3 linked regions of the Caenorhabditis elegans genome follow. The protein of the gene in region 1 purifies or fractionates together with the protein of each later gene. This does not show direct contact. Each region holds a gene or a part of one and is shown in the gene's direction. Other genes may lie near its edges. The genes, in order: unc-5, unc-129 and madd-4.

Region 1 (3,754 bases):
AACCTACAGTAACCCTTCAGGGAATCTCCCGCCTTTACCACGAGAATTTCTCTTTATTATGTTAATTTCAAGTTTTTGAGTTAGGCGGTACTCTTTTCATTCACTTGCTCAAATATTATATTTTCTCACAATTTCTCACATAATCTTGCTCTGCTTGACACATAGGACGATTAACATTGAAAGTTTAATAAAATTATAACATTTGACTTTGAAACAGTAATTTTTTTAAAAAAGAAATGTTCAGATGTCACTAACATTTCAAAAATCATGGTTTATTTATCAAAATAATGAAACAGGCTTTTACAGAAAAAATTGTTCTCTAGCTAACATCTCTAGTGAATAGTAAGTATTTTCAAAGACGACTTTTCTAGAATCTGCGTAACAATGGAATTCAAATTACCACTCCCCATATAATGATCTCTAAAAAATGTTTTTAGAAAAATTTTCCATTTTTTCAGATTCCATGCTTTGTTGTCTTAATTTCCACTATTTTCTATTCCTTCAGAATTCAATCACTGAAGATGAAGCACACATTTTTTTTACAGTTTCAATTGGATCTTTTGTGAATTAAGAGTATTTTTGTTTTATTGAATCCATTATTGTTATTGAGACAATAAAGCTTATGAGTTCCATGTAAGAAAAAGTTGGTCTGAATATTTATCAAATTCAAAATTCTTCAATAATTGAACGGGTATTATTCCAATTCTAATACAACTGTGAAATTATATAAAATTCATCAAAACTATGAAACATGTTTTTACTGGATCAAATTTTCTCTGGATGATTTTTTTTCATCAAAATCAATTTTTTCTGTATCCTGATTATATTCAAACTAAACCAAAGTGTGCAAATTGAAGAAAAAAAATCAACTCCCTTTTTTTAAGTTCGTTTAAAATTCCAATAACCTCCTATTTGTTTGAGAATTTAGTTTCTTGAAGCACAAAATATTGTTACAGTTTCAGTAAGGCTTCTTTTAAATTCAGATTTTTCTCCGACATTGCCTCGTATGATACCTTTGTATTTAATCCGAAAACAAATTCTTGAGTGTTCTATGATTGTAAAAAAGTCAAATAAGTTTTCTATGAGAAAATACAAAAATGTCTCTGTAGGTGAAGTGTAATAACATTGCAAACAGATTTTTACAGTTTTTTGAGCAGCAAGGAGTTTACATATCAGCACGAAACATCACGAAAAAGTTATCTAAAACTTTTTTCTAGATAGTTGAAATTTATAAAATTTATTTGTCTGTTTCAGTAGATTCACTTTATTTAATGCAACTTCAAGACCATAGTCGTATGTCAACAATTGTAACCCCTATATTGTAATTAAATTAAAAAGTTGACTGTTTCACCATGTTTTTTTTCAAAATGTAATTTCAAATAAGTTTTGATGTTCTGTGGTTTTTCGTTCCATTTTTTAAATAAGAAATAATTTTGGATCATTGAAAAAAAATCAGTTTAGAAAGTGAAAAAAATCTATAATTACTAAGTTTACAGACAGAAAAGTTCACTATTTTTTCCAACCCAAATCTAGAAAACATTGAACTCTGTCTGTGGTCTGGTTGGTTGTCCAATTTGTATTTTTCGGACCTTTATCCTTTCTTTAACATCTGGTTTTTATTACAAGAATCGCCGCTCTCTCTTCCTCTTGTTCACATGTCTTCCGTGCTCACAAAAACCTTTTTTATTTCTTCACGGGACCTCCACAATTTTTTCATTTTGATTTTTATTCTTTCCATCAGTTTTTCCTTTTAATTTGAAAATTTGAAATTCTACAGATGGAGGACGACACGCCCGATGTGAGTTCAGATTCCAATGGAGATGCAGCATACAGCGATTATTTCTTGGACTACAAATCAAGTGAGTTTCTGATTTTTGAATTAATCCCTCTTATTTTATCCTACTTATAAAAAAGTTAAGGACTATCTTTTCTTTGTTTAGAAAATATGCCAATGGGTGCCCCCGGCAGGGGGTAACGGGGGTAAATATTAGGAAGTATTAAGAGGGGTCAGTGAATTGTTTGGTGTTAGTTTCAAGGAGCTATGACACTTTTTTTTGATGATTTGTCAGTAAATACTAGATTTGTTTTACTTTTGGTATCTGTATGGCCACGGTTTGAACATTTAAAAAATTTGAAAAAAATTACTGTTTCAGAAATTGTATAAGTATTTTAAATTTCCTTGTGATGTGATTGCGTTTGTTAAAAAAACATTTATAAAATGTTTATATAGTTTTGCAAAAAATTCTGAACTGTTTTCCCAAAGTAAAAATTCCCTCCGACGAGGAGGCAGACTCTCTCGCTTTGCAGACTGCCTTCTGTGTTTTTTTATAAAAACATTTCTTGAAACAATAACGTTACTTTAAAACTTACCTCAAAATTATCTTTGGTTGTAACATTTAAAAATCACGTGAATTTTGCAGAGATTCTATACATTTTCACAATTTTAATAAAGTCTGATCTATGAAACGTTATCAATCACACCTCTCCTTAAAATTGGGAATATAACGGAAAAGTTAACAAATTAAAGTTTAGTCAATATTTCTAAAAATTAACATTTCAAGAAAAATTTGATCAAGCAGTCATAATATACTCTAGCGCTTTCATTGATGGCAGGCAGGCGTTTTAATTTGCCTAACGTCTACCTGCCTTTTGAATATCCATTTTTATTTTGCTCTTTCATAAAATCAAACATGAGTTCACTAGCAGCCGACAGTATCTAGGTCTTGCGACTCATCATAAAACTATAAGTAGGCACAGAAACAGGCAGGCATTCTCTACCTTACTTCAGTTAGTCCCTTTCTCCAATTTCTTCCGTTTCCCACTCACTCATACATCATTGAACCTTTGAGAAGGTGTCCCATCTCCAAAGACACACGTGCCGCCACTTAATCCCAATTCTCGCCAGAACTCTTTTCACCACCACCACCAGTTGCTTCTTCTTCTTCTTCTGTTGTTTTTTTGTGTGTGTGCTCACCTCTTTCCCCTCTTCTCCAATCATCACCCATTCACACCACGGATGACTAGGTCCGATGATTTTTGCCGCCAAATGATATTGTTGTAACGTTTCCTGAGTCAATGATGATGACGACGTACCTGGAGGGGGGGGGGGGAGCGGTATTCTCTTTTTGATGGACCCCCCGTACATTCCCCCACAGGTATACCTTAATGTCAAATGTCAATCAGAACGAAAATATATGTTGTTGCTTTATTAAACTGTTGACATGTGTAAACAGAATATTTTACTTACGCATTAGTTTACTTTATGGCTCATAGATTCTCCAGTTGATAGATGTTGTAAAATTGGGAGAGGTTAATGGGTGAACGGGAGTGGTGTCACCTGTTTTCACATAGTTTGTATTATGACACTGGTTGCGATAAAATTTCAGTTTATAATCTGATAGTGAGGTCCAGCCGCGATAAAAATAAAGATTATACTAATAAATACGAGTATCGTTACAATATATATAAGATAGATGAAACTGTAAAAAATTTGAAATTTTTTTTTCAAATTTTCTTATCAAAATTTATATTCCCGCGATAGCACGGATTTTTAGAAGGACTATCTCACGAAGGCAAATTCTGAGTGCCTGCCTACCTTCAAGCTGGCCGCGCCTGGCTTTCTTATGCAGGATTTTTTAATTTATGGCGGAAATATACATACTTTGATGGTCTAGAAGTTTTAAACGTCATCCGGCGTTCGAAACAAAAGTGAAATATAAATTTAAAGCAACAATTATTTTAACTAGTACAAACC
Region 2 (3,754 bases), 3.5 Mb from region 1:
ATTTTTTAGGTAGTTAAACAAATGTTGAAAAAAAAAGCAAAAGCAACCAAGAGCTGTTAAAATAGAGAAAATGCAGTTATTTTTTATATTCAAGAAAAGTTATCACAGAAGTTCCGTAATGAGTTTTTTCCTTATCAACATGTTCCCATCAACTTCTTAGTTTCTCCTCATTCCCATTGTTCAACATAATTATCACCTCTGACCTTATTCTGCTCTTTTTAAGCACAGGTGTTAATATGCCGTCCATCATATTTGCCCTCCGTCTGCCGCTTTCCTTATCTGACCTTTACATCGCCTTTTTGTATATGTACATAATAATTGTATCATCATCAACCTCCGCCATAAACATGCATGTCTTTTTACCTCTTTTGGCATGTACCGTTCTTCTTTGTATTTTTATTATGTCTTCCTTCCATCTTCCCTCTTTTTTACGGATTTTCGGATTGCGGAAGAAGAAGATGGTCGATAATTACCGTAATGAGGTAATTTGAAACATATTGGACAGAAGAAATACGCGCGGATGCTTTCGGTGGCAAGGTTAATTCGTTGTCTTTGTTTCTGGAATGTCCTTCATAAAAAACACGGATTACCACCTGTTTTTAACGTGGATTAAGATTTTTGGAAACAATTTACTCTGCCTAATTTTTTTGTACATTTAAAAATGTAGACTTACCGAATTCACCGAGCTTGACCAGTTTTAAAGGTTACCGTTCACACTAAAAATTGTTGAAAAAATTTTCGACTAAACCTAATGATTTTATTTTAAAAAATAAATGAAATAGCATACAAATTTGGATTTTTTTCAATTTTTTTCAAGAAAATCATGAAACATTTAGAAAACTCGAGTAACAAGCTTTCCGTTCATTCTGTAATTTTTAAGTTCCAAATTTAAAAAAATGCATTTTGATTTACTGGGATTGCCGTGCTCGTAATTATCAGCAAAACATTTGCCGAATTAGCCGAGCTCGACAATCTATTTTTTCGCAAACTTTTGCCATGTTTCGTAAAACAATTTTCCATTTTATGGTAGACATTTTTCATCAATGAATTCACAAAATTTAAAATCCCCACTGAAAGTACCAAAATCTTCCTGAAAAATCCGGCAAAAAATCCATCTCATTATCATGTCACATATACATGTTCTATTGGCACTATGTTTGGGATGTCCTCCAATTAATACTTCTGTGTCAATCTCATCGGCGCCCGGCGGCCACTACCAAATGCAAAACTTTGTTTGTAAAAGAAGAAGCCAATAATTTTCTCGTTATTCATTTTTATTACTCTTTTTGCGTTTCATTCTTCTTTGTTCGAATTGATGAACGCACGTTGCTTCTCTCTGGTTTTCCTGCCGTTCCTTATATTGCCAAGGAAACCAATGCGGATTTTCGGAAGATTTTCTTCATGTCCTTTAGAAAATATCACCACTTTTCTTCTTTTTCCATTTCAAATTTCAATTTCCATACAACTCATCTTCTATTATAGCTTTTCAGGTGTTCGACTGTTTGAAGATAAGAATCAATTAAAATTTGGTTCACTGAGCATGTCATCCACTTTTCCTTTTCTTTGTTCTAAAATTCACCAAACTGAATTTTCCTTAACCGGAAATTTACATGAAAATAAGAAACATGGATTACATCCTTTACATATCATTTTTGTTTTTTTATGTGTATTCCATGTTCCCAAAAGTTTGATGCAATTTTTGATTCTTTTTCAATTTTCCAAATTCGTGTCTCGCAGGGAACGATTCACAGTCCAACATTCCCAAATTGCGAAATTTTAGAATATATATTCCCAAGCGTCGAATATCTCAAAAATTTGTCGTTTTCTCAGTTTGACATGTCACCTTTGCCGGTTCCTCTATTCGTCTATTAGCTCTCCAGAGAGCAATGTCATGTCACACGAAGAATTCAGGGACATGTTTCGTTTTTTTTTGTTTGCATGTGGTCACCGATATGGGAACTTGAACTTTCCAATTTTTGCTTGCTTTTTCTTTTCCGGAAACTTAATACTATTTGAGAAACTCCGCATCTTATTTGTTTGATCCCAAATTCTGAAATTCCTCTTTGAATTTGATCTCAAGCTTCACTATAAAAAATTGTTTCAGGAAAATTGGAAGAGCAAGCAAGAAAATGAGGCGACTTCCGATTGTCTTATTGCTTTCGGTTTTTTCTATAGCCAACTGTGCAAAGGTGGACGTGGATCTTATTAATGAAACCATTCGAGATCTTCTTCATTTTAAAAGTTCAGATCCAAGTGAGTTATTTTATTTTGAAAAATAATTGTCATATTTGAGCTTCTGAAATGCATTAGACCTCTGAAAGGAAAATGTTGCTCAAATGAGTTAAATCAAAACAGTAATAAACAGTTAACACAATTTCCCTCAAGTTTGATGTTGAAGCGAAAATGAATCTAAAAAATTTAAACAACTTTCAGACGTTACCTCATTCCACCGATCATCACACACTCTCACCGAGCATATGAAAAATCTTTATGAAGTGAGTGTTTTGTACTATTATTATAATTTCAAATAATTGTTTTTCTAATTCATTTTTTAAAATGTGCCCGGTTAAATAAATTTGCGAGAATCCGGAAACATAATTCTTTGTTGAGATGGTTTTTCTGTAAGTTTTCAAGTCGGATTCATTCGATTTCTTCCTGTTCAAATACCCGTGCACTAGGGCTGTGCAACCAAATTGCCGGAAAGTTGCCGAAATTTCAGCTAAAATCTCGGTTCCCTTCAGCCCTGTGTGTGTTTTGTTCTTAGTCAGCGAAACATGTGAACAGAAATAATTTTGTCAGTTTGTGCGTATGCCAGTGCGTGCGTATGCAAAAATTATAATGAATGTTTCAGTAAATTTTAGTAAATTTCTTCACCTTTCTGAAAAACATCATTTTTATAAATTCATTATTTCAGAATTTCATTGACGAAGACTCGAATGAAGATGGTAATCTGGTACGTGCCATTGAGCCGGCAGTTGGAAAATTCGAGGGACAGGAAGTCTTGGTGTTTGATGTTGAAGGATTTGATTCCCATGAATCCATTATGCGTGCAGAGTTACATTTCTACCTCAGAAGACGAGATTCATTTGCAAGAAGACGATCTCGTCAAATTCGGGCAAAGTCGGTTTGTGTGAATGAGTACTGTAGGCAACAGACCTTGAAAAAGATTCGAGTTGGAGGAGATGAGAATTTGGAAGAATATAAAGTTATTTGGGATGCAACAAAATCAGTTTTCGATTCATATCATTTGGATGCAAAGCAAGCAGTATTTCGTATTACAAGAGAACATTCAAAGATGAGACCTTATGCTGAAATGATTCGAAAAAGTACACCATTCCTTGTGATTTATTCTAAAGTTAATCATACTCTGGATACTGTATCAGTTATGAAACAAACTGAACAGACAAAAAGAAAGAGAAGAGATTTGGGAAATGAAGAATTGAGAGAATATTATAATTATAACTCGATTCCATTGGATAATGATGATCGTGAGCCAATAAAGAGAAAGAATGGAAAAAAGAACAGTTTATCTGAGGAAATTTCATCAGAAGATGTTTGGCAAGGTTTTGGAGAAGAGACTTCAAGAGAAGAAAGAGAAAGAATTGCAAATGAAGAACTGGCTAATGATGTTCGAGTTGTGCTTTTGCAAAATAAAAATGTAAGTTAATACAGTTTCTATTTTATAACAGAACCGTAGAACAATATAAACATTGTAAATTTGCTTTCTTTAAACTTTTCTGATAATCTGATATCT
Region 3 (3,754 bases), on another chromosome or scaffold:
TTCCCGTTTCCTTGTTTTTTAAAATTTATCCAGATATGTTTATGAAATTTAAAGTATTTTATGATCCAGGTCGATTTTAGACAATTTTCTAATCGACGTCGACGTATGCCGAAGCTGGGGGTACCTGCGTCGATTAGCCTGACTTCGGCGTCGATCAGAATAGATTTACCAGAGTTTAGTGAGAAATGTGTTTATGTTTTCATAAAAACCCAAAATTCAGACGTCAGAATTCAAAAACCTTCCCCTTCAAATTTTAAAAGAAAATGAGTTGTAGTCGCAGAATATGTTACCTGAAAAGAAGTAGGGGTGACTCTATTGTCTTTATTTCTTTTTTCTTTTTACAATTTTTCATTCTCACTTTTTTTTTACTTTTCAAGTTTGTTCAATAGTCTTCTGCAAAAATATTTCAGTTATAATAGTTGTGTTTTCCAAAAAATTAGTTCAATTCTTTTTTTTTGCAGTTCTTCTTTGTTTTTCCAGTCATGTCCTCATTCCATAAATCCCATTGGTCGTCGATTTCCCATTTTGAATTGCCCCTAGTTTTCCGATTTACTGCATTTTTCAAAAAAAAAGAAAAAAAAACGTTTACTATTGAATACCTATGCCTGGTTGAAAGAATGGGTTTTGTCAGACACTGGTTAACCTTTGCTCAGCTCTTTTTTTGAAGTTTGTAGTTATCGTTTTTGGAGTTTTTATTACAACCTGGTATCATGAATATTTTTTCTCTTCCATTTTCATTTTTCCTTCCCAAGTGTGCTGCCCGAGTCTATTGGAAGTCAGAATACCAACGTGTTCCTTGACACTTTTTGATTTGATTTCCACATTTTTTCCTACATTCTCCTCTTCTTTTGGCTTTTCTTCTCTCCTGAGCAACGAAGTTTAACCATTGCAATATTTGTAACTTTCATATAATAAGTAGTGGAGTTTTTGAATTGATTAAAAAGTTTTTGAATTGATTTGCATCATGGTCTAAACGAATAAAACTTCTCCAAGAGACTCCTCAAAAAGCTTTCAATAACGTAGTTGTTGTTCAAAATTAAAAAAAAATTACAAAACTTGTGTTCCATCGACTAAGATGGTACCTAAATTCCAAAAAAAAAAACGAGTAATAAATTACTAAACTGGAAAATTTGGCATATATTCCAGGTAAATTTAGCCTGTTTCTTTCAGATAATTTTGAGTACATTGAATAAATTTTGTTACTACCTCTATCCCGGCTCGCCATTCGCCTTGTTGCTTCCTATCAAAAACTTTTGTCTAGGAGTTACTCAACACGACTTATCAATGAATTGCTAATTTTAGAAATAATTACTAAAAAATGTTGGAATGGGTTGAGAAACCACATGTTCATAGGAGAGTAAATTTCTACGAATTCAAACTAATTTTGCCAAATATTTATTGTAATTTCTTGCTTTTTTTTGTTGATTGTTGGCCCACTTACTTAGTTTACGTTAATGTTTTTTTTCTCTACAGCTACTCTTTTTAATTAAATTTCTTTTTGTTTTAATCAGAGGTAAAGTGCTATAATTTGGCTCAACCAACTCACAGGTGATTCGCGGGTTTTAAAATACTTATGAAATGTAGTTCGCGCGCTTCTACAAGAGGCACCAGCGATATAGTAAAATACTTGCAAAATCGCAAATATTGTGCAAATTGCGATCACCGAGAGTCGCGATTACCAAAATACTGCTAAAATGTTAATGGTCCCGCGGCGAAATTCGCGATTTGCAAAATGCATCTAAAATATTGGAGGTCATAAGTATTTTACAAACGGCGAATCACCTGTGCTATTGTAAAGTGGAAAACTTCTATAACTATTTCTTCGAACCCTCTAATTTTCCTATCCAAAAAATAGTTGAAGCCCACATAAATCTTTTAATACATTTATCTCTATTTCATTCTTTCTCTTCTAACTGGTAATTTGAAATTCGAATATTTTCTTCAAGTTCCGGCATCTGTATATTTTCTTTTTATAAAACTTCCAAAAAAATATTTGCAGCCAAGGACAATTCAAGCGTTTGTTAATTTTTACACAAAAAAAGGAAAAAAAACAATGAAACAAAGTGTAAAATGAATGAAAATGAAGTGTTCATATACCGTAGTATTTTTACTATTTTACTTGCTTATTGCGAGTTTCCACGTGGATGCTCTTAGTTGGGCGGCATGGAGTCCTTGGAGTTCGTGTACTAAAACGGTAATCGGACAGAGAAGCTATTCAGAAAAAAAAAATTTTCAGTGTGGTGGCGGAGTTTCTCGTCAGTTACGACGTTGTTTGACATCAAAATGCTCAGGAGAATCAGTTCGATTCAAAGTTTGTGCTCAAAAAACTTGCGAGTCAAAATCTAGATTAGCTAGGGATACAATATGTGGAGGAGAGGAAATAGTCTCCAGGGGACAGGTATGTATGAACCACTTTCAAAATAATGTTTTCTTGTGAAGAAACATTTATTTAAAAAAAGTTTTTGTAGTAGTAGTCAAAAAATAATTTGGACAAATGTACCGAATAACCAAAAACGCAAAAACGTTCAGCCCTGCAGCAAGAGTGTTGTTTTTTCGATTTCTCAATTTTTTATGAATGTCGAAAAAAAAATTTCGGATTCTCAAACTATTAATTTTTTAACGGTCTAAATTTCAATAATATCCACATATCATGATACATAACATTCTAACAATTTTGTAAAAGTTGTGGTAAATTTCCAAATTTTCCAAAAATGTGGACTTCCTGAGAAATTTCGAGTTGTACTGCAGGTTTGAATCCCTAGAGTGTTTAAATATAAACAATCTTTAAAAAATGCGGAAAACTGAGTTTTCAAGTGTAGATTTAAAAAAGCCAAATAATTGTTGAAAAGTTTGAATTTTTTTTGAAAAGTTTGTGAATCATACATGAACAGTTTTCAAGCACCTATAAGTGAAAAAATAAGAACTAAAATTCAGTGCGAAGTGGTATGCCGATCACGCTTAACTGGTGCAAATTTTCTTTGGAGAGTTGATGATGGAACGCCGTGTCAGGCCGCAACAAGTAGAGCTGTCTGCAGTAAAGGGTCTTGTCAGGTTACTAAATATAATTGTTTTAATTATTATTTTCCCCAAATTTCAGATCGTTGGCTGTGACGGATTGATTAGTTCATCTTTTCGATTTGATGCCTGTGGAGTATGTGGAGGACGAGGGGATACGTGTGACAATGGAAAGTTCATTTGGAAAGTTTCCGGTAGAATTTTAAAGATTTACAACAATCACTCAAAACACTAAGATTTCCAGAAGAATACACTGCATGCGCTTCAAATTGTGATGATATAGTTGACTGGTCAGGTGCTGGACGTTCAATTGCTTCAACTAGTCAACCAATTGTTGTATGTGTAAATGCAATAACTGGAAGAGTTGTTCCTGAAAAGTTATGTGCTGATAAATTGAGACCGAAAGTTGAAGCAAGACCATGCCCAATGCTGATTTGCCCTTCAAGGTTTGAAATTTTAAATTATTTTATATTTATGCTTAAGTGCATAGTTTCGTAAATAGTTTTAAATTCTAGTTGTTGTCTGTACTTTTTGAAAAGCACAAACCTCTAAAAAACAAAAAACCGAACTCAAATTTCTGTTAACTTTTGTATTTTAATAATTTGAATTGTTTTTGAATATCCAATTTCCTTTTTCAAGAAATATTCTTTATATCGTTTCCTAAATTAGATTTGCTAATTTGATTTTAATTAATAATTTCAGATGCCGGTGAGTTTTTCCAAAAAGATCCCAAATCAGG

What was found.
Region 2: the proteins of unc-5 (region 1) and unc-129 purify together in Caenorhabditis elegans (affinity purification with western blotting, with the first as the bait; one study listed by BioGRID). This does not show direct contact.
Region 3: the proteins of unc-5 (region 1) and madd-4 purify together in Caenorhabditis elegans (affinity purification with western blotting, with the first as the bait; one study listed by BioGRID). This does not show direct contact.

Annotation. Positions count from the first base shown.
Region 1 is NC_003282.8:5,526,362-5,530,115, reverse strand, and holds the start of unc-5 (Netrin receptor unc-5), read left to right. Parts: upstream 1-1,777; coding exon 1,778-1,859; intron 1,860-2,190; exon of another isoform or gene 2,191-2,211; intron 2,212-2,475; exon of another isoform or gene 2,476-2,496; intron 2,497-3,413; exon of another isoform or gene 3,414-3,434; intron 3,435-3,746; exon of another isoform or gene 3,747-3,754. UniProt on the Caenorhabditis elegans protein: Receptor for netrin (unc-6) required for axon guidance. Mediates axon repulsion of neuronal growth cones in the developing nervous system upon ligand binding.
Region 2 is NC_003282.8:9,003,761-9,007,514, reverse strand, and holds the start of unc-129 (BMP-like protein unc-129), read left to right. Parts: upstream 1-2,104; 5' UTR 2,105-2,129; coding exon 2,130-2,253; intron 2,254-2,433; coding exon 2,434-2,495; intron 2,496-2,914; coding exon 2,915-3,658; intron 3,659-3,754. UniProt on the Caenorhabditis elegans protein: Required for the migration of axonal growth-cones and distal tip cells (DTC) along the dorsal-ventral axis of the body wall. Acts cell nonautonomously and independently of the classical daf-4, sma-6 or daf-1 TGFbeta receptor signaling.
Region 3 is NC_003279.8:8,940,531-8,944,284, reverse strand, and holds the start of madd-4 (Protein madd-4), read left to right. Parts: upstream 1-1,997; 5' UTR 1,998-2,080; coding exon 2,081-2,194; intron 2,195-2,236; coding exon 2,237-2,398; intron 2,399-2,934; coding exon 2,935-3,051; intron 3,052-3,097; coding exon 3,098-3,209; intron 3,210-3,259; coding exon 3,260-3,461; intron 3,462-3,717; coding exon 3,718-3,723; intron 3,724-3,754. UniProt on the Caenorhabditis elegans protein: Component of an extracellular matrix cue that is involved in the guidance of dorsoventral midline migrations and in the specification of postsynaptic domains at neuromuscular junctions (NMJs).